Linked DNA regions of Pelodiscus sinensis. The protein of the gene in region 1 purifies or fractionates together with the protein of each later gene. This does not show direct contact. Links are inferred from orthologs where the notes say so. Each region holds a gene or a part of one and is shown in the gene's direction. Other genes may lie near its edges.

Region 1 (7,447 bases):
GCTGAGAAAGCATTGTTCCATGTCAGCCATAACAATGTTGACATATTGTGGGGCCATGCGGGTGCCCATAGCGGTGCCACTGGTTCGAAGGTATAAATTGTCCCCAAATCTGAAATAGTTGTGGGATACTCCCTACAGAAGCACAGGAACAAATCTACACAGACATACCCATAGAGCCCCAACCAGAATTATTCTATCTATTACCCAAGGGTATTTCTACACTACCACCCTAGTTCGAACTAGGGTGGTTAATGTAGTCATACGGAGTTGCAAATGAAGCCTGGAATTTGAATTTCCCGGGCTTCATTTGCATTAAGCCGGGCGCCGCCATTTTTAAATGTCCGCTAGTGCGAACTCCGTGCCGCGCGGCTACACGCGGCACAGACTAGGTAGTTTGGACTAGGCTTCCTAGTCCGAACTACCGTTACTCCTCGTGTAGCTGCGCGGCACGGAGTCCGCACTAGCAGACATTTAAAAATGGCGGCGCCCGGCTTTATGCAAATGAAGCCCGGGAAATTCAAATCCCGGGCTTCATTTGCAACTCCGTATGACTACATTAACCACCCAAGTTCGAACTAGGGTGGTAGTGTAGACATACCCCAAGATACATAAACCTGGAAATCCTGGATGCCCCATCATCTCAGGCATTGATACTCTTACTGCAGGACTGTCTGTCACCAGCACTCCCAGCTATCTTTGAGACACCACTGACTTCCTAAGAAAATTACAATGCATTGGTGATCTTGCAGAAAACACCATCCTAACCACCATGGATATAGAGGCTCTCTATACCAACATCCCACATGTAGATGGAATACAAGCTGTCAGGAACAATATCCCTGATGATGCCATGGCACAACTGGTAGCTGAGCTCTCTGACTTTATCCTCACCCACAACTAGCAGTAGCAGATTTAAAAGTAACCATCCTGCAACAAAAAAACCCTTCAAAATCAGACTCCAAAGAGAAACTGCAGAGCTACAATTCATTTGCAAATTTGACACTATCAGTTTATAATGAACAAAGACTGTGAATGGCTAGCCAACTACAAAAACAGTTTCTCTCCTTTTGGTGTTCACACCAGCTGCTAGAAGTGGACCACATCCTCCCTGACTGAATTGATCTGTGGTCTGGTAGCACTTTATAGACTAACAAAACATGTAGATGGTATCATGAGCTTTCGTGGGCACAGCCCACTCCTTCAGATATCCGGAGTTATGAGTTGGGGATATAAAATATGGAAATAAATATGATACCTTCTACATGTTTTGTTAATCTGTTAGTCTATAAAGTGCTATCTCAGCTACCCCCTGAAGCTCTTGAACTGACCTGGTTATCTCTGGCCTTCCTTTTGATTGGTACTCCCTTCTTTTCATGTGTCTGTATATTTATACCTGTCTCTGGAATTTCCACTACATGCATCTGATGAAGTGGGTCTTTGCCCACCAAAGCTTATGCTCCAATAAATCTGTTAGTCTATAAGGTGCCACGGGACTTCTCGTTATTTAAGTATAACTTACGTTCACTTACACTGCCTTATTAGAATGGCATAATGACGCAGAGCACCATGATCAGGGTGAATGCAAGACTGTGTTCATTTCTTGTTTACACAGAATTTTACTTCCCTACAACATGCACTCTAGAGGCCACTCTCAATAGCAGCTCGAATAATTCATATCTAACACTCCAAGCAGAACCTTGCTATTTGCACCATTTGCTGGAAAACCCATTACTGACTGTCAAATTCTGCAAATTATGAAGTAAACAGTCAGTTAGAAGGTAAGAAGATGCTGCACTTCACTGTATTTTTCCCATTGATATTTTATTTATACTATACTATAATGTCTGAGTCAATCCTGGAATAGTGATTTTTTTATAAAGCAATGAATTCTTAGTAATAGCAGATCTGATTAAGGCATTGTGATGTTAGATCTCCTCTCCTAGGCAGGGCAAGACCATCATTATTTTAGTATAGATTAATGAAGTTCTTATGCATATGAAGGAACTGTTTTACCTCACAGGTATCTCTGTTGAGTTTGTGGATTTGCTAAAGAGACAGAATCATGCAAAGAGACCAAAGCTATGGACAAGACAAGCTCTCAACCTTCAATATCTGGTTCTTGCCTTCCTTCAGAACATACCCACCCACGCACACAGGTCAAGGGAACATTTTTCAAACTCCGTGAAGACAAGGCTGCATTCACCAAAGGGAGGATGCTCGCCCAATGCTACAGTCCCATGTCTATTCTCCCTCAGCACCTCCAAAGCCTTCCCTCCACACAGCTCTCCTGGTCAGTCTCCCCCCTCCCTACAGCCCCTGGCTACTCTCCCCGCAGCTCCGCCTCACCGAGCGGCAGCAGGCTGTGGGCCAGCATGGTGCCGGTGCTCCTCCGCAGGTGGTAGTGGACAAAGGCCACGTCCTCGCTGCCCAGCCAGCCGGCCAGCAGGTTCTGCACGGTGAGCCCGGCCGAGCGGAACTCGTTGGGGGTGAACACGAAGCAGACGGCGAACACCAAGTAGGCCAGAGTGAAGGTCGCGGCGGGGCTCTCCATAGCTCCCCGCTCCTAGCCCGCTCGGCCCCGCCGCCGCGCTGTTGCCTGGGACAGGAAGTTTGTGCCGCGAACCCGGCTTCCCAGGACCGGAATGCTCTACGTGGCCTCCGCCCAGCGGTCCCACCCGGGTAACCCGGGGGCGGGGAAGCTCCAGCGGGCTGCAAAGCAAGGAGACGCCTGGAGAAGCTGCGCGCTCTAGCTCGCCCCGCCAGCATCAGAGACCCCTCTGGGCAGCAGAGCCAGCGTCCCCGCTCCTTAACCGGAGTCTCGGCTTTCGTGCAACACTACAGTTTCCAGCTGGTGGGGCGATAGCAAGCAACTCTCGAGCGAGAGTTATTCAGAGACCGCCCGCCGGAGGTGCCCTGAGCTGGGCTTGGAGGTCCCCAAACCTCATTACCGCAGGGCCTTGTTTTTTAAGAAGAGCTGTGGCCACTTCACACGAGGGGGCTGTCCTGACCCGGTTGAGAGCGGGTGCAAGCTCCCCTATTACTCCAGGCCACTGTGTCTGGCGGAGTTAGTTTCTGTACTGAGAAGCCAGGATGATGCTCTGGTCACACGCGGGGATGTTAAATCTCGTTTTATTGGTTAAACACAACACCGCTGCTACATTTAACCATGTAAAGAGGGCAAGGGGGGAACGCTCCAGCAGGGATAGAGCGCCCCCACCCCCGCCTGCTGGGGTCAGGACAGAGTGGCCCCTGATACAGGCAGGTGCTGCTCCAGGTCCTAGGCGAGGGCTGCCACCATGGCTCCCAGCCCCTGCCAGGCTGGGACACTGGGAGCGGGGGGAGGGAGGAGGGAAGCTGCTTCTGGGGACCAGTTAACTGGTACCCAATAATAACCCTCTCCCAATGAGAGTGGTGCTTCCTGAGTAACCGTTTAACCGGATATCCCTGTAGCATCCTTAGTCACAAGGGCTATACAAAGCAGTGACTGTAGGGGATCAATCTCGGTTTTGAAACTGATTTCTGCGGTCCTGGTCAAGGTAAGCAAACCTGCATTTTCCAACTTAGGCACCTAACTATAGGCAACCAAATCTGGACATTCTGAACATTCCTTGCTCCTACTGACTTACAGGGGAGCTTGAATGCTCAGCACCTCTGAGAATTAGGCCACTTTTCTTTTTAGTATTTTACAGGCCTAGCTAAAAAATTGAAAGGCTAACCTAAAGTCTAAATCAGCTATTAATGTGCACATAGAGTTTCTTGGAAGCCTGGAACTCCAAGCAGGCGTATAGCTTCCTTTCTAGGACTGGGGCTCAGGAGTGAACAATGCTTTCTCTGGCTCTCTTGGTGCGTTTGTGCTGTCTGTTTAAATTCTGAGCCGCTCCAGTCTCACCCCTCCCTTAGGAAAACTACATTTCCCAGCATGCCTCACCGCAGCACGGCTTAACGCTCGCGATCTTTGGGTGCGGTAGCTCTTATTGGCTGTGAGCCCCTTTCCGAGCCCGCTCGCTGATTGGTCTGTTCATATCGAGGAGCAGCTTCTGGGCCTGTTATTGGAGAGTCGAGCTAACGTTGACATTTGAAATCCTGAGGCGGGGGGCGGCAGCCTGGCTCTGAGAGCGGCTGGGGGTGAATAGCGGAGGAACCCGGGCAGCGGAGCGCACGGGCAGGCCTGAGGCCTGCGACTTGCCGGCAGGTAGGGGAGCGAGGGGCCGGGGCGAGGTTTGTGGGGTCCCCGCTGGGAGGAGGGCGGGGCTGGGCGAGAGCGGATATGGGGGGGCAGTAATGGGGGTCCCGAGGCGCGGTGGGGTTGGCTGCTGGGGTGATCCCGACAAAACTGGGAGAGATGGCGGGGGGGGGGGGGGGGGGGCTTTTGTCCGACTGTCGGGCTCGGCCGGCCTCGTCCTCCTCGCCTGCCGCTCCCTCTAGTCCATTCTCCCCGCTGGTGACCGAGTCCGGGCGACTCCAGGGCCGTGCCTTGTTCCTCAGAAACGCGTCACGGGAGGGAGAACGATGTTGAATCCTCCGAGGATTGGGCCGAGGCGTGACGGGCAGCTCGGGTCGCTGGTGGGGCTGTGCCGCTCCTCAGTCTCGAGTCACTCACATGCAGCTCCTTTGCTGCTGGCCCTTACTAGACGTGACTCTGGGTAGGTGAGAAGGCTGAGTAAATCAGCCTGGCAATCATGGCTTGTAATTGATTAAAAACCAGTTGTTACTGGTTAGTTAATTTTTTTACATTGTATAGTCAGCCCAATGTCTATGCTGTCACTGAATCCTTAAATCTAATTGTTAAATATTGCAGAAAAAGTTTGTTTGTTTTTTTAAATGTGGCATGCTTTCCATGTGTGCTCAAGGAAACTTTAAATATCGATGTTATTTTATGACCGTGCTTCTCAACGTATTTACCTTTGCAGGGTGCATATGCTACCAGTGTGGCCTTGAGGATCTCCTATGGATTGAAGAGTGATAGAGATGTGGCCGTGTTAGTCTGGTCTAACTGAAACAAAAGACAGGACTATGCAGCACTTACAAGATGGTTTATTAGGTGATGAGCTTTCGTGGGCCAGACCCACTTCCTCAGATCAATTTGTGGAAGAAAATTGGCATGACCATGTATACCAAAGTGATACAATTTAAAAAAAATATATAAAATTGACAAATCAGATTTAAGAACAGAGGCGGGGCAGTGGGGGGAAGGTTAGTGTCTGTGAGGTAATGACATTGGGGTGATAATTGGGGAAGCTACCTTTGTAATGGGTAAGATAATTAGCATCTTTAAGACCCATAGATAAAGTGTCAAATTTAAGCACGAATGACAGTTCTGAGGCTTTTCTTTGAAGTCTGGAGTTAAAATCTCTTTGAGGCAATATGAATGTTTTAAGGTCATTGAGAGAATGGTCAGTCTGGTTAAAGTGGCAAGCAACAGTTTTCTGTCTGTGAGGGAGCCTGATGTCTGTTTTATGAGCATTGATTCTTTGGCAAAGTGTCTGAGAAATTTGTCCAGTATACATAGCAGACGGACCCTTTAGGCATATGATGGCATAAATTATGTTTCTGGATGAGCAGGAATATGTGTTCTTGATCTTGTAACTGGCATGGTTAGGACTGATTGATCAGTTTTATGTGTGTTCATTTTTTTCATTGTATCACTTTGGTACATATGGTCATGCCAATTTTCTTCCACAAATTGATCTGAGGAAGTGGGTCTGGCCCACGAAAGCTCATCACCTAATAAACCATCTTGTTAGTCTTTAAAGTGCTGCATAGTCCTGTCTTTTGTTTCAGCTATGGATTGAAGTGTGTGTTGATTGGGCTGCAAGTGAGGCCACATCTGGAATATTGTGTCCAGTTCTGGGGCCCCTACTACAAAAGGATATGGATGTATTGGAGAGGGTTCAGCGGAGGGCAACCAAAATGATTAGGGGGCTGGAGCATATGACTTATGAGGAGAGGCTGAGGGACTTGGGGCTGTTTAATCTGCAGAAGCAAAGAGTGAGGGGGGATTTGATAGCAGCCTTCAGCTTCCTGAAGGGAGGTTCCAAAGAGGATGGAGAGAGGCTGTTCTCAGTACTGACAGATGGTAAAACAAGGAGCAATGGTCTCAAGTTGTGGTGGGAGAGGTCCAGGTTGGATATTAGGAAAAACTATTTCACTAGGAGGGTGGTGAAGCACTGGAATGGGTTACCTAGGGAAGTAGTGGAGTCTCCATCCCTAGAGGTGTTTAAGTCTCGGCTTGACAAAGCCCTGGCCAGGTTGATTTAGTGGAATTGGTCCTGCCTAGAGCAGGGGGGCTGGACTTGTTGACCTTCTTAGGTCTCTTCCAGTTCTATGATTCTAAGTGGTTTGCGGGTTAAGACCCACTGTTTTATGAACTATATAGAGAACATGCATATGCTAATATAAAACACGAACATGCATACCATTGACGCTAGGGATGTAAAATCCCATTTAACAAGTTGACCAGTTAAAGTTTCTATTTCACCGGTTAATCAATTAAATGAGAAGTGTAGGTGTTGCTCCTAGCATGCTGCAGACAGGCTCATCAGTTAACCTTCACGGTTACACACAAGCACCCCACCTGCATTGCTGCCTCTGTATCAGAGGCAACAGCAAGGGGAGCAGGTGGAAGCCAGTGCTTGCTGGGAGCTGGCTTTTAAGCGGTTTCCTGAGGAGCTTCTGCCCCCTTCCCTGAGCATGTGAACATATAACTGCTGACAATTTGAGCAGTTAGACATTTACCAAAAAAACCTCCTGCATTTTAACATCTCTAATCATAACCAGTAAGCGTCACCTGCCAATGGTGAGGCTTACTGGTTATGATTAGGGATGTTAAAATGCAGTAGGATTTTTTGCTAAAAATTTGAGCAGTTAGACACTTACAAACAACCTTTCACATCCCTAATTGAAGCTGCCTGTTTTCATGTTCTGCTGAGTAACTGAAGGTATTACCCATTATATCCCTATTATGGACAACCAGTTACCTGGTAAGTATCACTCTTACTGAGGGATGTTTACTCCGCACCAGTTAACTGGTATCTGGGAATGGCCTGCAGAGGGCTGCTGTAGTCCCAAGGGGGCTGAGAGCAGCAGCACCAAGCATGAAGCTGTCTCCCCCTCTTTCCCCCTCCCCCATACTTGAGGCTGCTGGCAGCCCCAAGTGTAGTGGGGGAGGAGAGAGGGTGCGGGAGCAGAAGCAGACTTCTTCCCCCCCCCCCCCCCCCCCCCACATGCTTAGTTCTAGTTAACATCCCTAGTTCATAATAGGGATGTGTTAGTATACATGTTTAAATAGTTAATCAATGAGCCTGAGCTCATTGTGCTCTAAAATTATCTATCCTTTGTCTTTGATTTAAAACTCTCTGGAAAAGGAAGTATGAGAAATTGTGCTCGCATTGCATGGGAATATTATATTCCGTATAAAAATCTGGTTTTCATCTACTCCACATGTGGC
Region 2 (7,386 bases), on another chromosome or scaffold:
CTGGGGGGGGGGGGGGGGTGAGTCCAGACCTGAGCTGGCAGGGGGCTGTGGGGCTAGGGGGCCCCCTCAACCTCGGTGCCACATTAATTCCAGCTCCCCATGTTTCCTTGGTCCCTCGTGCGGTGGCTGCTGCCTTCCCAGGCACGTGGGGCTGGACCAGCCTGGCCTACGGCTCTCAAAGTGGGAGGGGCCTGAGCCTCTAGGTGTGTGGGGGGAACAGGGACCCGTCCACTGCAATGGGGGGGTGCAGCCCCCAGGGCAGCCTGGCACAGGTGTGTGGGCAGAACCTGGTCCTCACCCCGTCCCAGCCACTGGCCCTGTAGCCTCCTGGGGGTGCTAAGTGGGAACGGTGTGTGGGGAACAGCTGCCCCGGCTCTGCCTGTCCCCGCCCCCCAGCTGGCTAAGGGTCCCCTCGCTCACTGCTCTGGGGACAGGTGCTGCACATGCTGCCGCTCACCCTGCAGGGGGCGCCCCCGCTCGGGGTGGGGTGGGGGGAGAGCCTGCTGGCCCCATGCCAGGGGAGCTAATCCCTGCCCGACCCCCGTTCGCCTCCTTGTCCCTTGGCTCCGTGCTGGGGCTGGTTCTGAGAGCGCCCCCTGCTGCTGGGGCTGGGAGGGGAGTAAGGACAGAGCTACCCCAGGGGGCAGAGGTCGATGGTCCCAGCATGCGGGGCTGGGGCAGCCCCAGAGTGTGCAGGAGCCCAGGCTGGCTCTAGCCCCACTCACCCTCACTGTGGCCCCTCCCATGGTCTGTAGAGGCTCCTCCCATCCTCACTGTGGCTCCTCCTATGGGCTGTAGAGGCTCCTCCCACCCTCACTGTGGCTCCTCCCATGGGCTGTAGAGGCTCCTCCCATCCTCACTGTGGCCCCTCCCATGGGCTGTAGAGGCTCCTCCCACCCTCAATGTGGCTCCTCCCATGGTCTGTAGAGGCTCCTCCCATCTTCACTGTGGCTCCTCCTATGGGCTGTAGAGGCTCCTCCCATCCTCACTGTGGCTCCTCCTATGGTCTGTAGAGGCTCCTCCCATCCTCACTGTGGCTCCTCCCATGGGCTGTAGAGGCTCCTCCCACCCTCACTGTGGCTCCTCCCACGGGCTGTAGAGGCTCCTCCCACCCTCACTGTGGCCCCGCCCATGGGCTGGCGGGATCGTACCCCCCCCACCACAGCGCCCCCTGGACTTCCTGTGCTGAGGTCCCACATCCTCCTGGCCCTGAGCCTGTGCCCCCAGCCCTGCCTGCCAGCCTTCCCCAGCTGGGACCCTTGCTCCCCCTGCCCCAGCCAGACCCCTGCCCAGGCGCTACCCAACCTTGGCCCGAGCCCCCGTGGGACACCAGCCTCCAGCAAGAGCAGCAGGCCCCAGCCACCCTCCGTCCTGCCACGTGCCTGGTTCTGGTTGGATGCCACGCCTGCCACGTGCCTGGCACTGGGCTCTGATTGGACACCACGCCTGCCACGGCCACTGACCCCACTGGAGCGGAGGCACCCCCATGAGAAGAGCAGGCAGGTATGGCGGGCACAGCCACTGGTCCCCGTTGAACGGCTCTTGGCTGGGGGGTGGCGCAGCCTCGCCCAAACGTGTCCCCGGCCACGCCGGGCACCGGCGGTGGGTCACAGTGCCATGCTGAGCGCCCACTCTGCCCTCGGGGAAGGTGACAGGGCAGGAGCCGCCTGCCTACAGACAGCTTGGGGGGACTGCCGGGGGGGGGGGCCAGAGAGCAGAGAAAGTGTGTGTGTGTGTGTGTGTGTGTGTGTGTGTGTGTGTGTGTGCGCATGTGTGCACATCCCCCCTGCTGTGTGTGTGTGTGCGCAGACATCTGCTGTGTGCATGTACATCCCCCCACTGTGTGTGTGCAAATTTCCTCTGTGTGTGTGTGTGTGGACATCCCTCTGCTGTGTGTGTGCACATCCCCCCGCTCTGTCTTTGTGTGTGTGCGTGCGCACACATCCTGCTGTGTGTGTGCGCACATGCACATCCCCCTGCTGTATGTGTGTGTGTGTGTGTGCACATCTCCTGCTGTGCATGTGTGCACATCCCCCCCTGCTGTGTGTGCGCGCGTGGACATTTCCTGTTCTGTGTGTGCGTGCACATCCCCCGCTCTGTGTGCACATTTCCTGCTGTGTGTGTGTGTACGTGCACATCCCCCGCTCTGTGTGTGTGTGCCCGCACATGCCCAGCTGTGTGTGCGCGCACGCATGCCCCCGCTGTATGTGTGTGTGTGCACATCCCCCCACTGTGTGTGTGCACACATCCCCCTGCTCTGTGTGTGTGTGCACATCTGCTGTGCGTGTGTGTGCACATCCCCCCGCTCTGTCTGTGTGTGGGTGCACGCACATGTCCTGTTGTGTGTGTGCGCGCGCATCCCCCTGCTGTATGTGTGTGTGCACATCCCCCCGCTGTATGTGTGTGTGCACATCCCCCTGCTCTGTGTGTGTGTGCACATCTGCTGTGCGTGTGTGTGCACATCCCCCGCTCTGTGTGTGTGTGTATGCACATCTCCCCGCTGGGTGCATGTGCCCATCTGCTGTGCATGTGCGCGCGCACCCAGCTCTGCTGAGATGGACGCAATGGTGGAGGGGCTGGCGTGGCACCCAGAGCTGGGTGGGCGGATGCAGGCCAGGTACAATCAGAACTGGGGGGGCGCAGGCTGGACACAGTTGGCCATAGGGGAACACAGGCTTGGCAGTGCCAGGTGGGGCGTGGGGCAGGTACAATCCGAGGTGGTACCAGAGGGCTGGCTGAGCACAGCTGGAGCTGAGAGGTGCAAGCCAGGCACAAATAAAGTGGCTTGGGGGTGGAGCACTGTGGGGTGCAGGCAGGAGCCCTGGGGTTGTGGGGCTGGGGCCCCCACGTGGCCAGGGACTCACTGTGACATCACAGCCCTGCCAGGGGAGGTCATGGCCACGCCCCCAGCGAGCTGTGACATCACAGACAAGCCAGGCCCTGGCCGGGCTTGGAGGAGAGATAGATGCTGGGTAGGGGGTGTGGTTGCAGGACTATATGCTCGTGTTTGGGGAGGGGGATAAGGCCGTGGGATGTATCCCTTGACCTCACACAAGAATGGATGAAGTCAACAGGCAGTAGGTTTACATGGGAGCACTTCCCCCTGCAGTTAACCTGTGGAACTCCTCGCCAGGGGAGGCCAGGAAGCCCAGAAGCGTAACTGGGTTCATCAAAGGAGGGGCGGATGGGCCCCAAGAGTCACCTATGCTCTGGGTGACTCTGGCCTCCGCCTCCCCCTGCCACTGGGCCAGGGAATGGATGGCTGGATAATTGCTCTGTCCTAGCGAACCGGCGCCAGGTGTGGTCAGAGCTAGGCCGCTGGGCTGGGGGACTACTGGCCTGACCCAGAGTGGCCAGGCTTGAGTTCAAAGTAGGCAGAGAATCCAGCTCACACGCTCTCAGCAGGGCGGAGAACCCAGCCCCTCCCTGCCCCCCAGCGGGGCAGAGAACCCCCCCCCCAGCGCTGTCAGCAGGGCAGAGAACCCAGCCCCTCCCCGCCCCCTAGCGGGGCAGAGAACCCCCCCCCCCCAGCGCTGTCAGCGGGGCAGAGAACCCAGCCCCTCCCCGCCCCCTAGCGGGGCAGAGAACCCCCCCCCCCCACAGCGCTGTCAGCGGGGCAGAGAACCCAGCCCCTCCCCGCCCCCTAGTGGGGCAGAGAACCCCCCCCCCACAGCGCTGTCAGCGGGGCAGAGAACCCAGCCCCTCCCCGCCCCCCAGCGGGGCAGAGAACCCCCCCCCCCAGCGCTGTCAGCGGGGCAGAGAACCCAGCCCCTCCCCGCCCCCTAGCGGGGCAGAGAACCCCCCCCCCCCAGCGCTGTCAGCGGGGCAGAGAACCCAGCCCCTCCCCGCCCCCCAGCGGGGCAGAGAACCCCCCCCCCACAGCGCTGTCAGCGGGGCAGAGAACCCTCCCCCCCCACAGCGCTGTCAGCGGGGCAGAGAACCCAGCCCCTCCCCGCCCCCTAGCGGGGCAGAGAACCCCCCCCCACAGCGCTGTCAGCAGGGCAGAGAACCCAGCCCCTCCCCGCCCCCTAGCGGGGCAGAGAACCCCCCCCACAGCGCTGTCAGCGGGGCAGAGAACCCCCCCCCCCCCAGCGCTGTCAGCGGGGCAGAGAACCCAGCCCCTCCCCGCCCCCTAGCAGGGCAGAGAACCCCCACCCCCCCAGCGCTGTCAGCGGGGCAGAGAACCCAGCCCGCCCCCTAGCAGGGCAGAGAACCACCCCCCCCAGCGCTCTCAACGGGGCGGAGAACCCAGCCCCTCCCCGCCCCCCCCCCCAGCGCTCTCAACGGGGCGGAGAACCCAGCCCCTCCCCCAGCGCTGTCCCCGGGGCGGAGACCCCAGGCGACCTGCCCCCTTGCTCACCCCTCCGCCCTTCCCCTCGGAGGAGGGCGGCGGCTGGGGGCGGGCCGAGCGGTGCATTGTGGAGCCGCGCCGGAGCGCAGCAGGGGTGGGAGCCCGCAGTAGCCGGAGCCGGGGACCGGGACCGGGACCATGCGCCCACAGAGCCGGGGCAGCCAGGGGCCCAGGTAGGCGGGAGCCGCAGGCAGCCCATGGGCCCGGGCCCCCGCCTCCGCTGCGGCCGGGAGTGAGCGCCCGGAGCCGGCACCATGGGGTGAGGAACCGGCCGCGCGTCCTGCGCCCCGGGCGCTTTGTCCGCGGGGAGCCCGGGGGGCGGCGGCCTGGGGGCACTAGGGACCGGCGCCCCCCGAATCGCGAGGAGGGGTATCCCTGGGAGTCACTCTGGTGCCTCCCCCCGGCCCGTCTCCCGCCCCGGGGGGCGCCTTGAGCCCCCACCGTGGCCCCCGGCGCCCATCCCCGTGGCCCTCCGCCCAGAGCTTGGCCCGGTAAGGAACCCAGCGTCCGGGCTGGGGGGCGGGGGTTGTGCTTGTCTCGGGCGGGCGGAGCACTGGCGGCCCCAGGATCGCTTGGGCTGGTTCCGCCTCCCCGAGAGCCGCTCTTGGTCTCGGAGGGGAGGGGTCCGAGCTGGATCCTATGGGGCAGGGGGCTAGTCTGGGGGGCTGGTGTCCGAGTTGGATCCTATGGGGCAGGGGGCTAGTCTGGGGGGCTGGTGTCCGAGTTGGATCCTATGGGGCAGGGGGCTGGTGTCCGAGTTGGATCCAATGGGGCAGGGGGCTGGTGTCCGAGTTGGATCCAATGGGGCAGGGGGCTGGTCTCGGGGGTGGTGTCCGAGCTGGATCCTATGGGGCTGGTCTGGGGGGGGGGGGGTGTCCGAGCTGGATCGTGTGGGGTAGGGGGCTGGTCTGGGGGGGGTGTCCGAGCTGGATCGTGTAGGGCAGGGGGCTGCTCTTGGGGGGGGGGTGTCCGAGCTGGATCCTGTGGGGCAGGGGGCTGCTCTTGGGGGGGGGGGGTGTCCGAGCTGGATCCTGTGGGGCAGGGGGCTGCTCTTGGGGGGGGGGGTGTCCGAGCTGGATCCTGTGGGGCAGGGGGCTGCTCTTGGGGGGGGGGGTGTCCGAGCTGGATCCTGTGGGGCAGGGGGCTGCTCTTGGGGGGGGGGGGGGTGTCCGAGCTGGATCCTATGGGGCAGGGGGCTGCTCTTGGGGGGGGGGTGTCCGAGCTGGATCCTGTGGGGCAGGGGGCTGCTCTTGGGGGGGGGGGTGTCCGAGCTGGATCCTGTGGGGCAGGGGGCTGCTCTTGGGGGGGGGGGGGTGTCCGAGCTGGATCCTATGGGGCAGGGGGCTAGCTTGTCTGTGATGTCACAACCCACTGTGGGGGTCAGCCTTGACCTCCCCTGGCAGAACTCGGCCAGAACTCAGGCATCCTGGCTCCAGTTTCTCCCCCGGACCCGGATCCCTGCCCAAACCCGGAGTCAAGTGATGCTGGTTCCGGGTGCTGCCCCCCATGGACCCCGGGCTGGCTGCAGGGCGAGGTGTGTGCATCAGGCCCCCCTGCCTCCCTTAGGGTGGCCCTATGCCTGCCTGTGGGAGCAGCCCCCCACCCCCCATTGCTCACAGCTGCGCCTGGGGGTGGGTCCCAGGAAAGTTCCCCCATTCTGTGGGCTGGGTGCTGCATAACCCCCAGCTGTCTGTGTCTCTGGGGGGGGGGGGGGTCCGGTGGGGTCTGGCCTGCCTGGGCTGGGCTCAGCTGTTGGCACTAAACATTCCAGAGCTGCTGGAGTGGCTGGGGGGGGGGGGGGGGTTGGGCTCTGTCTTTGGTGCTGTTCCTTGGAGGGTGTGAATCTGTGGGGCAGACGTGTGGGGCGGGCTTGTGGGTGCTGGAGCCACAGCGTCTGCGGGTTGCTAAAGAGCAGGAAGTGGCCACAGGCAGGCTCCGGCTTCCCCTTCCCGTTCTGTAGGGGGGGAGGTGTTGTTCGGAGGGGGGGGCTCTTGGCAGGCCCCTGGGCTACAGCAGAAGCGGGGTGAGCCCTGCCTCTCCCCCCACCTCATACCCTGGGGTCCTGCTGAAGGGCCTGACCCCTCCACCCCCATTGCATTCTGGGATCCCCCCACCCCAGGGTGCTGGGACCAGAGCCTGCTGGAAGTGGGGGGAGGGTGGAGACACCCAGCCCCCCCACACACACCTGGGGCTTGGGCGCTGGGGGTTGGCTGCAGTCAGGTGCACGAACCCCTTAGGTGCTGTCTGGCCTGGGCCAGGAGGGTCTCCTGGGGTACCCCAAGGGGGAATGAAGGTGTGTGGGGGGGGTCATGAACACACCCAGCCCTGCTGGGGGTTGTCCCCAGGGTGCCCAGAAAGCGGGGGAGCCAGGGGAGGGGCGGTAGGCTGTGGAACCCCCCCCCTCATACCCGCAGGACAGGGCTTGGCAGGAAGTGACTCAGGGTCCCACCCAGGGAAGGGGGGGGGGGAACAGACGCATGGGGGAGGGGGAAGCCCTGGACTCGGGATGGTACAAGATCAAGGCCCCCTGGATTCCCCCTCCCTAGCTGCAGAGACTCCCGTCTGCCCCCCCCCCCCAGCCCCCACCAGGACTGGGGTAGCAGGTGCTGCGGGGTGAAGTTGAGGGGAGCCGGGGTGGGAGGGGCCAGCCCCGGAGCAGGGCAGGTTGTCCTGGCCTGACTCCTGCAACTGGCCCTGCTCCTCCCCAGAGGCAGCTGCCTCTCCCTCCATGGGGGGAGGGGTGTCCAGGCCCAGCTTTGGTGCCTCGGCCCAGCCCCCCTCCACACCCATGTCTCCCCAGGTGGAGGAGGGTGGGTCGGGGCTCAGCCCTTCCCCGGGTGTGTTTTGGGGGTGGCTGGGTTCCTGATCCCCCAAACAGGGAGAGGGGAGCAGCTCTGGATTGTGTCCTGTTTAACCCCCCTCCTCCCCTGGAGACAAACAGGCTCTGTCCTTCAAACCTGCCCTTATATGGTTACAGGCAGCTGCTTCCCCCCCCCCTTCCTGCTCCAGAGTCCGCCCCCCCAGGTGCTGCCTCC
Region 3 (7,672 bases), about 32 Mb from region 1:
ATCTGTCTAATCTACATGCCTCTGCCGACACAGCCTTGGTGTGTAAGGGGCTCCCCTGAAGGCCACATCTGCAAGATATAATAATCAGAAACATCATTATCAGTACATTCATGGCATCAAATCATCATAATAAAAGACTCCTCTTTCTCACTGTCCTTTGGCAAGCACAGAGATTAGCAAATGCCCTAAACATGCTGAGTTTGGCCAAGGAGGCTGGTCTTTCCTGATGGAACAAGGGTCATGGTGAGTTTTTTAAAGGGAATCACTGCAAGCAACTAGCAACTATATTTTTAAATTTAAATTTTTTAAATTCTGTCACCATTTTCCAGAGATGTGGTCACTTCAACCAATATCTTAATCCTGTAACGACAGAAAGGTTTATTGCCTGCCTGCATGTGACTTCAGAGCGGGTCTCTATATTGCTTGCCTGTGCACCACTTTCGTCCCTGTACAAGGAATTGCTGATTGGTGCTGCAAAGTTTCATACAATGGGGGAAGGAACAAAGAAGTTCTTCTAAGGACCCATCAGCAGAGGATTGGTGAAAACCAGGAAAGTTTACTAGTGATCTCTCTGGAAGATTCCCATGAAATTTCAGTGTTCTTTAATACACTATTATGGCCCACTGTGTAGATGCACCAGGGTATGGGAAGCAGATGCAAACATAGATGATCTTGTACATTTCTATCCCTTAATTCACTTCTAGCATATAACAAAAGACAACTCTATCTTATAGTGGTAGAAATGTAGCCGTGTTAGTCTGGTGCACTGAAACAAAAAACAGGACTGTGTAGCACTTTAAAGACTAACAAGATGGTTTAATAGGTGATGAGCTTTCATGGGCCAGACCCACTTCCTCAGATCAAATAGTGGAAGAAAATTGTCACAACCATATATACCAAAGGATACAATTAAAAAAAATGAACGCATATGAAAAGGACAAATCAAATTTCAGAACAGAAGGGGGATGGGGAGGTGGCGGGAAAGGGGGGAAGAAAATATCTGTGAGCTAATGATATTAGAGGTGATAATTGGGGAAGCTATCTTTGTAATGGGTAAGATAATTAGCGTCGTTATTCAAATTTGCGTGTAAAGTGTCGAATTTAAGCATGAATGATAGTTCAGAGGATTCTCTTTGAAGTGAAGTCTTAAAACAGGGGTGTCCAAACTTTTTTCAAAGAGGGCCAGATTTGATGAAGTGAACATGCGTGAGGACCGACCATTTTGCCTGACATTCTTTGAACCATTAAAATTAAATGCAAATTAACTATTTTATGCAAAGCTTATTGCAAACGGCATACTTTTCATTTCGTCACATGGATGACAAATTTAAACAGGTGTTAAATCACTCTGCCTTTCATATCTGAAGGCCAGATGAAAAAAAAATCCAGGAAGCTGAAATATATGTCAGGAACATTGTAAAGTACATTACATATTATTGGTAATAAAGGTTGTCTGTCAACTTTTAAGTTCAAAAAATATGAACAGGAACATAACACCAAGTATACATGTTGTGTCCAAATATATTTATAACTGATTTAGACCAACTGACATTAACTGAGATTTTACAATGTATTCATCTCAATACATATGGATTCGTTGGGGGCCATAAAAGATAGATATTGCCAAATTACCTGGGGGGCCGTATTAAACCGGAACACGGGCTGCAATTGGCCCGCGGGCCGGACTTTGGACATGCCTGTCTTAAAAGGTCTTTGAAGCAGGATGCAAGTAATCAAGTCGTTGAGACAATGTCCTTTCTGCTTGAAATGGCAAGAAACTGTTTTTTCTTTGTAATCCTGTCTGATATCTGTTTTGTGGGCATTGATCCTTTGGCGAAGTGTCTGAGACGTTTGTCCAATATACATAGCGGACGGACACTTTCGCCACATGATAGCATAAATTATATTTCTGGATGCGCAGGAATATGTGTTCTTGATCTTATAACTCACTTGTGTAATTATAACTATTGTAGAAGCTATTTCATATTTAGCTAGAAGCCATTCTGTATAACAAAAAGCCATTTCAGTTTCTTCTGTCTGCACGAAGGAGTGAACTGGCCTTCACTGAGGTGGGGAGAGACCAGAGGGATGCGCTGTTGGAATGTGTTAATGAACTATTTTGAGCTGAAGCTCGAACTCCCTTTTAACCTGTTTCTTTCTATGCTGATAATAATTCCTCTTTGAAGTTCTCTTTGATTTCTTGCCCTGACATCAGACTTGTTTGATTAAGGGTATAAAATACTAGGATTGATTGTATTAAGCAGCCTTACTAGGCCCGGCTTTGCTAGGACCACGTTTAGCTCACTTTGCTTTTATTAGCCAATAAAACTGTCTGTTTAGCCGCGTAAACTGAGTGAGGCGTTTGCTTCGACACTATCTTATGTAATTGATCAGCTGGAACTCAGAATGTTCACTTACCAGAGGTTCCTTCTTCTGCATCATGAGTGTCACAGATGGAGCATTAGGACCATCTTGAACTCTCCAGCATCAAGAAGAGATCCTGGCTCACTGTGACGGGACTCGGCAGCCCCGCACTGTAGCCTCCACCGCAAGCGCCCTGTTTACGGCGCAGGCGGGCAAGGTACCGGCATTATGCTGGGTGCTCGCTGGCCGCGGAACGCGTTGCAGCTCCAGGCGCTGCACCCAGAATGCGGCCCGGATGCAACAGGGTAGGTGGGGCCACATATGTGACGTCAAGGCAACATCACGCCTGGCACCGGGAGCGGCAGGGGATTTAAACGCCGCCTGGTGCCAGAAGAGGGGGAGGTGTGTGTGAGGGTGCGGGGTGTGCCAGCGGGGCTCCCATGCAGCAACGGGGACCCAAACCCGGGGACACAACAAGGCAGCCAAGGCCGCTGGAGGGCCAGGTAGGCTCCGCATAGGGGCGGCAGGACCCGTGGGGAGTGGAGAGGAAGCAGCCCAGGGCAGGGCAGCACTGAACGCCAGCAGGCTGACGGGTTTCAGCAGGGGCCCCCGTCAGCCGGACTGGACCATAGGAGGTTCACGTCCTTAAGGCCCTGGCCTGGGGCTCGTCAGTGAGGGCGGTCCCGGGCCCCCCTCTTCCTTGGAAGAGGGAGTTCCTGGCGCTTGAGGGGGCCATAGCGCACTCCATCCACACCTCAGCTTCTTGGCAGTGGAGGTAGATTTGCTGTTGAAGATGGTGTTGAGATCCTTATAAAAACTGCAGGTCCTCAGAGCAACACTAGAGTGATAGTTTGATTCCTCTGCTTTCCCAGAACCTGATCTTCACACAGCCCATATCCATCATGCCATAAGAAATCTAACTAAATGTATCAAAAAACTTAAACAGCAAATAGTTTTGCGCACCTTAAAGACTAACAAAACATGTAGGTGGTATCATGAGCTTTTGTGGGCACAATCCACTTCTTCAGATGAATGTATCAAAGTTCCCACAGCTGGAGTGAAGCTGGTACTGCACATCTTCGACTGTCTACAGACCCAGTAGATCAAATCACTCTGGTGTGCTCCAAGGTGGAGAATGTTTGCTGTATGGAACGGCCATGATCATCAGGGAAGATGCAACATTAGCTGTCCACACCATGCAAATATAAAGGGGAATTTCAAAAGTTCCCATTCCTTAAAAAAAAAAAAAAAGAGTAGATGCCTGCATACCTGGATACAGGGCTGCAGAGTTCAAATTTCTGACCAGAGTAATCCGGATGGGCATTGTGGGACACCTCCTGAAAGCCATTTATGGCAACATAACCAGTGTTTACATTGATACTTTGTCAATCTAGCATTGCTGCTAAAAGCTCTAGGGCTCTGGTTGTGGTGATTTTATTTTCTCAGCATAGCAGGAGATTTTTGTCCAAAATGAAATATTAAACTTGGTTTAGGAAGTGGAACCTTGGGCCAGGACCATGCAGCATTTCCCAAAGTATTGTAAGGAAGGCATCATGCCTCAGTGCTTGTCAGCATGATGTTACTGACACCAAACCGTGTGTTTTTTTAGGGAAACAGCGTGTAGGAGCGATTTAAATGGTAGGAGCCACAGCTGCTGTCCTCTCTCCCGGCGGGCCCACAGGAGCAGCCCGTTTGCAGGCCTGGCCCACCCACCACAGGTTACACACTGGCTCGCTGGAAGCGGACCTAATAGAAGATTCGTGTTACTTTTTAAAATGTTTGCTGGACTTTCACACCCTGGCGTGGAGAAGTGAGTTACCGGGCGTACTGCCAAAGTTAACTCCTCCACCTATTTGATTGCTCATTTAGATGCGCCAATCCCCTTTTCTCTCACTAGAGATTTGTTTTCTACAGCGCCCCAGTGGGGGAGGTGAAGCAGAATTATCCCCGATGTGTGCGCCCAGGGCTAGTACAGCCTGAGCCTGGAGCTTGTGGGCGGGGGCACAAGCCCGGAGCCTTTGTTCGTTTTAAAGGGGCCAATGGTGCCCGGCAGAGGCTCGCAGGGGTGGCGGGGCACCGGCCGGGCAGGGGCCCTAACGAGGTGCCGCAGCCCCGACGTTCCTGGGAACAGGCGATTTCACCGCCACCATGGGCCGGGGGCGACGGGCCGCGCGCCGCTGTGAGCTCAGCCCCGGCCATTGTGCCGCTCGCCTCTGCCTCGTGCGCGCGGCCCCGCCGGCAGCGCGAGCTCGCTCCGGGCCCGAGCCCCGCCCCCCTGCACGCGCGCTGTCCCGGCTGCACGCCGGCCGCGTGACGCCCGGGCGGGGCGGGGCCGGGCAAGATGGCGCCGCCGGCCGGATGTGTGTGTCTCCCTCCCCCCGCGGGCCGCCGGCGCAGCTGACGAGGCGGCGGCTCCACGCTCGGCCGGGCCCAGCCCCGGCGCAGTCACCGCGGCGGCGCCTCCTTCTCCAGGCCCGGCCATGTAGAGGGGGCCGGTTGCTGCCGCCCGGAGACGTGACCCGCCGCCATGGAGGACATTAACTCCAACGTGAACGCGGACGCGGAGGTGCGGAAGCTGCAGGAGCTGGTGAAGAAGCTGGAGAAGCAGAACGAGCAGCTCCGCAGCCGCTCCGGGGGCCCCGCCAGCCCCAAGCGCCTCCCCAGCGGCAGCGGCGCCGCCACCCCTTCCTCGCGGGGGGACCTGGGGCTGGAGAGCCGCTGCCTCAGCCCCAAGGCCGGGGCCCGGCGGCCGCCTGCCGAGGAGACGCGAGACAGCAGAAGCGGGACGGCGGCCGCAGCGGCCGGGGAAGGCGGCAGCTTCCTGGACGAGGTGGAGCCTCTGCGGCCCGAGGAGCTCGAGAGCTTGGCCGGCTGCGAGGAGGACGAGACAGGCTGGTGAGGAGGCAGAGGGGGGCTCAGGGCTGTGCCGCCTGGTTGCTCTACGTCCGGGGCCCGGGCTCTCCAGCTCCCGGGCACAAGCAGGGGACTGGGCCTCGCTGTATGGAGCTCAGCCCCCGCCCCCATTCCCTGACCCAGCGCAGCTCGGGGTGCGGGGAGCTAACAGGGGTCATTTGTTTACTAAAACGTGCTGCGAGTGGGCGTCGTTCTGCCCCAGTGGTCTGAAGTCGAGCTCGCTCTCTGAGGCTGGAGGGGGAAAGGTGACTTGCTTAGAGTCCGTGACAGGTAGGAAACCTGGTGCTCTCAGGGTCAGACTTCTAAAAAACTGCCTGGTGAGCTCCAGGTGATTCTCTGTTCTGTGACTGGCAGGGGCTGTACATCTCTAATTAGCCATGGGAAAACCCTGTTTTTTGCAAAACCAGAGTTGGAAAGGAACTGCAATGATCCCTTAAGAGTATGTCTATACAGCAAAGTAAAATTGGCTGGACTGAGTTTCATTTGGGCTTTGGGGATGTTTCACTGCTTGTTAGGCTTTCAGGCTCAAGGCCCAAGCTCTGGGACTCTAACCTCACAAAGTACTAGAATTTAACTCCAGCTTGAGCCCACATGTCTACACACCAGTAGAACTGCTGCAAAGCTGAAACCCTGCAAACTCCCATGTCAGCTGGCATGGTCCAGCCACCAGTGTTTAGTTGATATTTAGATGTACCTGCAATGGGCACCCAAGTGTTATCAGTAGTTATGGCAACATTTCAGGAAAACCATTTATTCACATTTCCTTTATTTCGTGATGTATTGCCTTGCATATCTTATTACATGGCTAAAAAAAACCCCAGGCTACGTCTACATTGGCCCCTTTTCCGAAAGGGGCATGTTAATTTCAGCGATCGTAATAGGGAAATGCGCGGGGGATTTAAATATCCCCAGCGGCATTTAAATAAAAATGTCCGCCGCTTTTTTCCGGCTTTTAGAAAAGCCGGAAAAGAGCGTCTACACTGGCCCCGATCCTCCGGAAAAAGCGCCCTTTTCCGGAGGATCTTATTCCTACTTTGAAGTAGGAATAAGATCCTCCGGAAAAAGCGCCCTTTTCCGGAGGATCTTATTCCTACTTTGAAGTAGGAATAAGATCCTCCGGAAAAGGGCGCTTTTTCCGGAGGATCGGGGCCAGTGTAGACGCTCTTTTCCGGCTTTTCTAAAAGCCGGAAAAAAGCGGCGGACATTTTTATTTAAATGCCGCGGGGGATATTTAAATCCCCCGTGCATTTCCCTATTACGATTGCTGAAATTAACATGCCCCTTCCGGAAAAGGGGCCAATGTAGACGTAGCCCCAGTGTGTGGTCTCTTCTGTACTAATCCCCACCGTCTCAAAGTACTTACTGTGTTGTCTTCTCTGTGGTAGAGCTGGTGGGGGCTACTCTCCTATCAACACTGGTTACATCCTGGTGGCTGGGAGAGGGCATGGAGATGGATTTATCTCAGCTAAGCAGACGTAATAAATTGCCAGCTGAGGGATCGATCGCGGGAAATAGAATTAAGATAAATGTCCATGCAGACTTAACTCTCCTTCCAGAGCTGGCAGTAGCAAACAGGAATTACTTGCATGCTCTCCAGTTGTTTTGTGTTTTAGGTGTAACTACTTTGTGGTGGAGGCAGTATGTGCAACAGGTTGTTAGATGTCTTGATATGAGGAAATCAGGATAGTTTTGAAGTGTCAAAGAGCTGCCATTGTGATATGAAGAGATGTGGGTCTGAGTTACCCCATGAGTGTGATCAAAGGAAAGATGTACATGCATATACTGGTGTTATATGCATATACTGGTGTCTAGTCGGTATCTTTTCAGTACAAAATTGTGTGTACTGTGTCATAGCAGGGCATTGTGGTCTTGTCATAGCAGGGCATTGTGGTCTTGTCATAGCAGGGCATTGTGGTCTTGTCATGGGTACTGACAGCAGTGAGATGGGACACAAGTGATCGGTGAATTTGGATTTAAAAACATAGTTTTAAGTTGTATACTATGTGGCAGAGAGGAGGAGGTATAAAAGAGGTTGTTCTGCATTTTACAAGTGTGGTATTCTGTCAGGTAGGGATGTCAAAGTATAACTGTTTAAAGGGTTGACTGATAAGCCTGAGCTTATGGGTTACTGTTACTGGTTATATGCAGGCTTCTACCCAGTGCTGCTGCCTCTGTATCAGAAACAATAGCATGGGGTGGCAGCCAACTCCTGGCTAGGAATGTGACAGTGTAAACATGTAAATGGTTACATGTGGGGTGGACAGGCAGGAGAAGGTGCTCCCAAAACCTACTTATCTCCTCCCTGAAAGGCACCTCACAGGGAGTGAGGGAGGCAGGAGCCGGAGTGTGTGGGGGAACCAGCTTCCCAGGTGTATCTGCTCCTGTGCAGTTGCAT
Region 4 (7,261 bases), on another chromosome or scaffold:
AACCACAGGAATCATAGAATACTAGAACTTGAAGGGACCTGGAGAGGTCATCAAGTCCAGGCTCCTGCCCTCACTGCAGGACCAAGCACCGTCTAGATTATCTCTAATAGATGTCCGTCCCAACCTTCTCTTAAATATGGAGATTCTACAACCTCCTGAGGCAATTTATTCCATTGCTTAACCAACCTGACAGTTAGGAACAACTTCCTAATGTCCAACTTAAACCTCCCTTGCTGCAATTTAAGACCATTGCTTCTTGTCCTATCATCAGAGGTCAATGAGAACATATTTTTTTCCTCCTTGTAACACCCTTTTAGGTACTTGAAAACTTCTATCGTGTCCCCTCTGTTTTCTATTTTCCAAACTAAACAAACCTAATTCTTTCAGTCTTCCCTCATACATCATATTTTCCAGACCTTTAACATTTTTATTGCTCTTTTCTGGATCCGCTCCAATTTTTCCACATCTTTCTTCAAATGTGGTGCCCAGAACTTGACACAATACTCCAAATGAGGCCTAACCAGTGCAGAGTACAGTGGAATAATTATGTCTCAGGTCTTTCTCACAACAACCCGGTTAATGCATCTCAGAATCAGGTTTGCTTTTTTGCAACAGTGTCATGCTGTTGACTTATAATTAGCTTGTGGTCCATTATGACTGGTGAGCCCTTTCTCCAGTACTCCTCCTTAGACAGTCACTTCCCAGTCTGTATGTGTGAAACTGATTGTGCCTTCCTAAGTGGAGTAGTTTTCATTTGTCCTTATTAAACTTCATCCTATTTACCTCTGACCATTTCTCTGGTTTGTTCAGATCATTTTGAATCATGACCCTATCCTGCAAAGCACTTGCAACCTCTCCCAGCTTGGTATCATCTGCAATCAGTGCATGGAATACAAACATGTAGAAAAACCACTGCACTGCTCATCAATAATGAATGCAGTGCTGTGTACAGGAGACTGTAACATTCAACAGTTTATGCAATGCCGTTGTGCAGAGATATCACCTGGGGTTTGAACAATAAGTAGACAGGCTAAATAATCCCCTACAATATCTGAACTTATGTTTGGTAGAGAAACCACTGGAGGGTCCATTACTGTATGCATTGCTTCTATGCACAGGAACCCCAGCCCTGCACAAGTGTGCAGAGGGGCCACCACTCCCCGCCAGGGGTCGCCAAAGCCTAGTAACCCCGGTTCATTTCTCCCACAATTGCTGCTCATTCCCTGCTCCTCCCCACTTCAGAATCCACACGGAATGCAGACCAGTAGTGGGCGTGGCCCCGCCGCTCCGCCCACCGCGTCCCCTGCGTGCGGCCGTGCCCCCCACCCTCTCAAGCAAACCGGTGTCTCGAGACGCCCGCGCTCTGGTGCAGGCGCTCCCGCCCCTTCCCCCCTACTCCGGGAGTTGGTTTGTTCCTCTTCGTTCCCCTCACCCCCCGCTGTGGTCGGGTCTGGCCCGACCCGGCGGCTGAACGGAGAACTCGCTCGCACTCAGGGACTTCGCTGCCCATTGAAGGACCGGCTCGAGAGGAAGGGGGAGAGCGGCTCCCCGACGCGGGCAGCACCATGAGGTGAGGGGCCTCCGCACCGCGGTGTTCGCATGGGGGGCGCTGTGGGGGTCTCCGGTGGGAGGAGGGCCCGGCGGGGGGGCCTAGGCGGAGGTAGCCGGGGAAAGCGCGCGGGTCTGTGGGGAAGGGGGGGGCGTTGTTCGAGGGGCGGGTTCTCTGCCGCCTGCGCCGTTGGCTTGTTGCTCTGTGGAAGCGCCCTGGGGGCCGTTGTGCGGGCGCCGGGCGGGGAGGGCTGGCTCCGGCTCCGCGGGGATAATGGCCAGCCCGCCCGGCGCCTTGGGGAGCCAGCGGGCCGGGCGCGGCTGCCCGTACATGGCGTGAGAGCCCCTGTGATTTGGGCGGCGCGTGGGGCCAGCTTGTGAGCTCCTGGCGCGTCTTTTTTTTTGCGGGGCTGGAGGCTGCTCGCGATCCCGTGTCCAAGGCGGGGAGGGAGAAGCGCTGCCCTTCTATCGGTGTGTGTTGCATTGCAGCAGCAGCTGGGTTTTTCCCTGTGTAATCAATAGAGGCAACCCTCCATCCCCCCGCCCCTCCCGGCAGCGGGGAACACATTGTTCTTGGGGCGTGTTAGTCCCGATGCAAACCTCGAGCCGCACGTTGCTAATTCCTTTCGGGGGGGGAGTCTTTGTCCATTTGTCTGAGACTGAGCCTTTATGTGATCGTATTTGCTTGGCGACTATTTTTCCACCCGCTCCAGCCGTTTCGTGCCTGTTCAGTATCCATAAGCTCTCTCTGAATTGGTGCAAGACTTCGTGAGAAATGTGACTTTGTAGACTGAATGGTGATGTATTTGGAGACGCATTACTATGATCCACATAGGCCTGCCCATTAGGTTAAACAGTTGTCTGTGTGTGTGTCGGGGGGTGGGGGACTGTAAATTACCTAAGATATTGTCTGTCTTTGTAGTTAGACTTGAATCTTCTTTGTGTTAAAGATTAATGGCCAGCAGTTGCCACGTCCTTTAGAACGCACCAGTAAGCTTTACGTGATATAATCTACACATTCCTTTGCTGTGACAGTGTCAAGTCTAGGAATTCTTCACAAATGTGAGACGTTTCTATTTTAAAGTTTTTATTTAGTTTTTTTAGGGTTTTTTCCCCCAAGGGCAAATGTTAACCATGGAGCCTTGGCATATGAAGAACTGGGTTCTCTTCTCTCTCTCCCCTCCTCCCCATGCATTCTGTTCCTGGGATGGCTTTATTTTATTTTGTTTGTAGTTACTTATGCATTAAATTTGCTTTTTAAAGCTATTTTGTAATATTAAATAACTTTTCTCTTATTCATACAGTGTTCTTTCACAGGGCTAGCTTCTCAACACTTTAAAACACTCAATTAATTCATAGTAATTGCATATTTTGTATATAGCACTTTCTACTGTTTTGATAATTTAAAAAGTTTAATTTTTATATCTTATTTGCATATTTTAGAGGTGAATTTGTAGTTTTGAGGCAATCATTTTACTTAAGCTATGTCTCTGGTTCAAAAAAAGTTTGTTGGTACAGTTGTATCAACTAGCCCTCCTAATGTAGGTGCAGTTTATACTAGCAAACATACCTCTTTTGCCATTATAGCATGTACTGATTCAATGCATGAAATAAGCTATTCTGGCAAAAGAGACTTTTGTGTTCTAGCAAAAACACTTTTATGCATGTATAAATGTATGCACATTAAGAGTTTTTGCTGGTTTAAGTTTTGCCAGAGTTCCAGCATTACCAACAAAAGTTTAATGTAGACCTCCCCTTAATCTGTCTAATATTAAATGTTTGTATAGTATAGTGAACTTTAAACTGTATACTTGTACGCACGGGGCCTAAGCATAAGCAAAACATCTCATAAATCTATGTCTCTTCAAATTCTAAGTAGCAACTGTTTTTAAAAGGAAATTGTCTGGAGTTAAATGTTCATTATGAATGCTTGCTGATTTAAGGAAACCTCAAGAATTCTTCAGGAATTGCATAAATCTAAGCCTTGCCCAACCATGCAAATTGTATAGTTGTAACTAAATTGGTTTATTAACAAGCTAAATCAGCAAGTTCCCCTTGTGTTGGACAGTGTTAAATAGAATCAATTTCTCAATCTCTTTAGTTAACTAAGTACAATATGTGTAGCCAAAGCTTCAGTGAACATATTCTCTTAGGGCTTGTGTAAGTCAGCATAAAAGGTTGTATTTTTAAAATATGTTCTTTGAAAGGCATTAGTTAATTGGTCTTTACACAGTCTTACAGACAAGCAAGTTTGTATCTTTTCTGGTCAAGGTAAACCCTTTGAATGGGGGGCCAGGAAGAATCAATGCTTGCAATGTGACAAATGTGCTATTTGTCAAATAGCTAACAAGTTTTGGAAGTTTGCCTGTGTTAAAAATTTTTTTGCTAACACCTTTTAAAATATCTTCTCTAGTCTAGACAGATATTTAGTTATTAATTATCATAAATTAGGTGTAGTTCTGAGAGAGGTTCTTCCACTTACAGCTTAATTTATAATAAACAGAGATAATGTATACAATTGACACACTGCCTACTTGTTTTTCCCTTTGATATTTTCATACCCTCTGCCCCTTGTTTTCCACCCCCTTCCTTTTTTTTCCTTCCCCTTCTCCCCTATTTTTTTGGGGTCTGCACATCCTAAACTCAAAACTCCCGTCATCTGAAGAAGTGGGCTATACCACGAAAGCTCATAATACTATCTACATGTTTTGTTAGTCTATGAAGTGCTACCAGACCATTTGTTGTTTGATTAAAAAAAATAGGTGAGTATAATCTTTTCAGTGTACTCTTGTACAGAAAATTGCTCTGAACTATAACTTCATTTTACATGCTTGCGCTCTCAGGCGTGGGATAAGGGAGTATACAGCCAAGTGGTCAGAAAATTCTTTCCCTGCCATCCGAATTCTGAAGTAATGCTGGTCTGACTGATGAATGGCTGCTCCAATATTTGGAGTAGCTAGGTGGTTGAAAGTTAACAAATAGTTTCCCAGTTTTTACTTTATCAAATACAGCTTGCTGTCACCTGAATTCTAAAATCTGTGCAATGTAATAGGGCGCACATGACGATATGTATTTAAATATCAACAGTTGTTTGTAGATGCTTGAAAATTATAGAAGAGATATTTAGATCTTAGCTATTGAACACAGGATTTAAATTCTAAATCTTGAATTACACAGGAGTATAGACAAGTTTCTGTATAAAGTTTTGTTTCAGAAGTCCAACTCTTCAGTAAACTATTTTTTAAGGGTGAATAGGTAAACAGTTGATTTTTGCATGTCTGCTCTTTTTGCATTGTAACTGACAGAGTACGTGGTGTTCTGAATCGAGTGTTACGTGAATGGACTAATCTCATAATAGGTGTCCAGAAATAGTTAGATGTGACTAGGGATTCCATTGGCAATTGGAATACTAAAAACAGTGGCTGTTAATATCTGTATCTTAGGGGTTGATAAGTCTGAGCGGCCGTGTTAGTCTTAAGCTTTAAAATGAGTAATCCTGTGACACCTTTCTTAGAGATTAACAAAAAAATATAGAATCATGCATAAAACCTACTTCACGAGATGAGTTTTCCATTCCAACTCATTCGATAAAGTGCATTTTACCCACGAAAGTCATGATTCTATATATTTTTGTTAGTCTCCAAGGTGCCACAGGACTACTCATTTTTAGGGGTTAATGACTGACATCTTTGTACAATTAATCCAGAAAATATTCAAAATTTCAGTGTTTAATGATATTTTCTTTGTTTACAAATGTCTGGGTCTGATATCCCTCTTTATAGGTTATTCAGTTTTAATAGCATTTGAATTTCTAAATAGGAAAAGTAGCTGATCTGATTTTTTTTTCTAATGTCTATTTCTTAGTAAGTGATATGGTTTCCTCGTTCCCAATTTAATCTTTATTTTGATTTTAGATTTCTTTAAAACTACCTTCTGAAAATTTCTACTTTGAGTAAATATATATGATTTCTTTCTAACTAAGTAGTCATCAAAAATCAGTGAATCAGACTTTGGGTCTGGGCAGATAAGTTTTTCTTGGCATTTTAAAGGCTGGATTAAGATTCACTACTTTATTAATGAAATGGTAAGAGAACCTAGTTCCAAGCCTGTGGTAGCAAAGCTAGCTAGCTTAATTGGGATAAAGAATTCTTGGGGAATCTCAGTTGTCCTACAGTTCCTTAATGTTCAGTTATGCCTAGAAGTGACACTACTCACGACAGTAATAAAGTTAGGGTAATCTAAATTGTTTATTATTGTCAAGCTGAAGGAGCCAGTTATTCAGGAATGAGAGAATAATAAGGGTTTTGCAGCGTGCTTTGCTGTATGGGGTAGAATTTCAGAATTGGGCTTTTGTTGTAGTTTTTACTACCTGCATGACACATGACATATTTGGAATGGAAAATGAGATATGGTTTTGAAATATTTGACAAAATATTTAAAGTGAAGAGCAGTCAGTTAAATCTAGCGATATTGCTGTACATGTTCCTGATCACTAAATTGCTCATTTCTCTAGAGTAAAATTGGAAGTGTAGGCAGATTTTTCAGGTGGGCACAAGAATTCAGTTCAGGTTACTCTCCTTGCTCTAAGTAGACTGAGGCTGTGTCTTCACAACGAGCTTGGGGTGTGATTGCCAGCTTGTGTACACACATCATGAAAGCCAGTACAAGTGTAAATAACAGTGTTGCTGCAGTAGCAGAAGTATCATACCGAGTATAAACCCGCTTGAACCCTGTGGGTACATGCTTGGTGTGGCTTACACTACTATTTATATTTGTGCTAGTTCTCATCAAGCTAGCACAGGTATATGTGCGTGAGAGATGGGGAATTGCATCTCTAGCTTATAGCATAGATGTAGTTTAACAGTCATTTGTCTGATGCTATTGCAGACTTTGTTAGCTAGTGCTTCATTTGTGACAGTTGCAATAGTTCTTGCACTTTTTTTCTTTGTCTTATATGGAATCTGACAACTACTTTCCTCAAAGTCTCTGGATAGTCTATGAATTATTTTGATAGTAGGTTTATAAGACTTTATTTCACAAGAATAAGTAAATGAAATGCACATCACCTAGAATTCCTATTCTTCATAGATGGTTGCTTGTAACATACTAAGATGGCCATATTGCAGAGCTCTAAAAATTACAAATGACTTGGGGGTGGTGGGGTCCAGGAAGGTGATTTATAATTCAGCATTAGCCTGGAAGCATGCATACATGCAAGCTGCTTCCTCCTGATTCTGATGAAAGACTGTATTTTTAAGCAAGTCAAATTTAGCTGATACTGCTCTTCTCTCTTCCACTTTGAACTGTAGGGCATGAAGAACTGTATAGTCCTTTTTTAACCTCCCTCAGAATAGGAAGAAGCTATTCATTCAGCATACACACTCACTGGTCACCTACATGACACACGGAGATTTGGTCTACACTACAAAGTTAGGTCAACATAAGTTAATTTGTGTTGACCCTGTTGGTGCATAGTCAGATTTGTCTTTAGCTAACATAAGTACCCTGTTAAGGTGATGCAGTAAAACCATCTTTTTGAATGGCCTTGAGCCATAGTTGACCTACTGAAGTCAGGTCAAACAGTATCTACACTTGTACTGCACTATGTCAACCCTGGTGATTCTCCAACTGTCCCAAAATACCTGGCAGTTTCCGCTGGTTACAATTGTGAATTCCACTGTCCAGGGGTCTTAAAGTGGAAGCCACTCCCTCT

Evidence for each region.
Region 2: the proteins of TACC3 (region 1) and VASP purify together in Homo sapiens (co-immunoprecipitation; 3 studies listed by BioGRID and IntAct, with this or other methods). This does not show direct contact. The link is inferred for Pelodiscus sinensis from reciprocal best matches to the Homo sapiens genes TACC3 and VASP.
Region 3: the proteins of TACC3 (region 1) and SLAIN2 purify together in Homo sapiens (co-immunoprecipitation; 3 studies listed by BioGRID and IntAct, counting the BioPlex papers as one, with this or other methods). This does not show direct contact. The link is inferred for Pelodiscus sinensis from reciprocal best matches to the Homo sapiens genes TACC3 and SLAIN2.
Region 4: the proteins of TACC3 (region 1) and ENAH purify together in Homo sapiens (co-immunoprecipitation; 3 studies listed by BioGRID and IntAct, with this or other methods). This does not show direct contact. The link is inferred for Pelodiscus sinensis from reciprocal best matches to the Homo sapiens genes TACC3 and ENAH.

Annotation. Positions count from the first base shown.
Region 1 is NC_134715.1:119,855,953-119,863,399, reverse strand, and holds the start of TACC3 (transforming acidic coiled-coil-containing protein 3), read left to right. Parts: upstream 1-4,442; 5' UTR 4,443-4,509; coding exon 4,510-4,643; intron 4,644-7,447. Other genes in the region: TMEM129 (E3 ubiquitin-protein ligase TM129), read right to left, coding at 2,347-2,551. UniProt on the Homo sapiens protein: Plays a role in the microtubule-dependent coupling of the nucleus and the centrosome. Involved in the processes that regulate centrosome-mediated interkinetic nuclear migration (INM) of neural progenitors.
Region 2 is NW_027465849.1:6,816,140-6,823,525, reverse strand, and holds the start of VASP (vasodilator-stimulated phosphoprotein), read left to right. Parts: upstream 1-4,369; 5' UTR 4,370-4,489; coding exon 4,490-4,524; exon of another isoform or gene 4,525-4,605; coding exon of another isoform or gene 4,606-4,610; intron 4,611-7,386. UniProt on the Homo sapiens protein: Ena/VASP proteins are actin-associated proteins involved in a range of processes dependent on cytoskeleton remodeling and cell polarity such as axon guidance, lamellipodial and filopodial dynamics, platelet activation and cell migration.
Region 3 is NC_134715.1:87,514,859-87,522,530, reverse strand, and holds the start of SLAIN2 (SLAIN motif-containing protein 2), read left to right. Parts: upstream 1-4,657; 5' UTR 4,658-4,891; coding exon 4,892-5,259; intron 5,260-7,672.
Region 4 is NC_134713.1:156,792,714-156,799,974, reverse strand, and holds the start of ENAH (protein enabled homolog), read left to right. Parts: upstream 1-4,251; 5' UTR 4,252-4,266; coding exon 4,267-4,310; intron 4,311-7,261. UniProt on the Homo sapiens protein: Ena/VASP proteins are actin-associated proteins involved in a range of processes dependent on cytoskeleton remodeling and cell polarity such as axon guidance and lamellipodial and filopodial dynamics in migrating cells.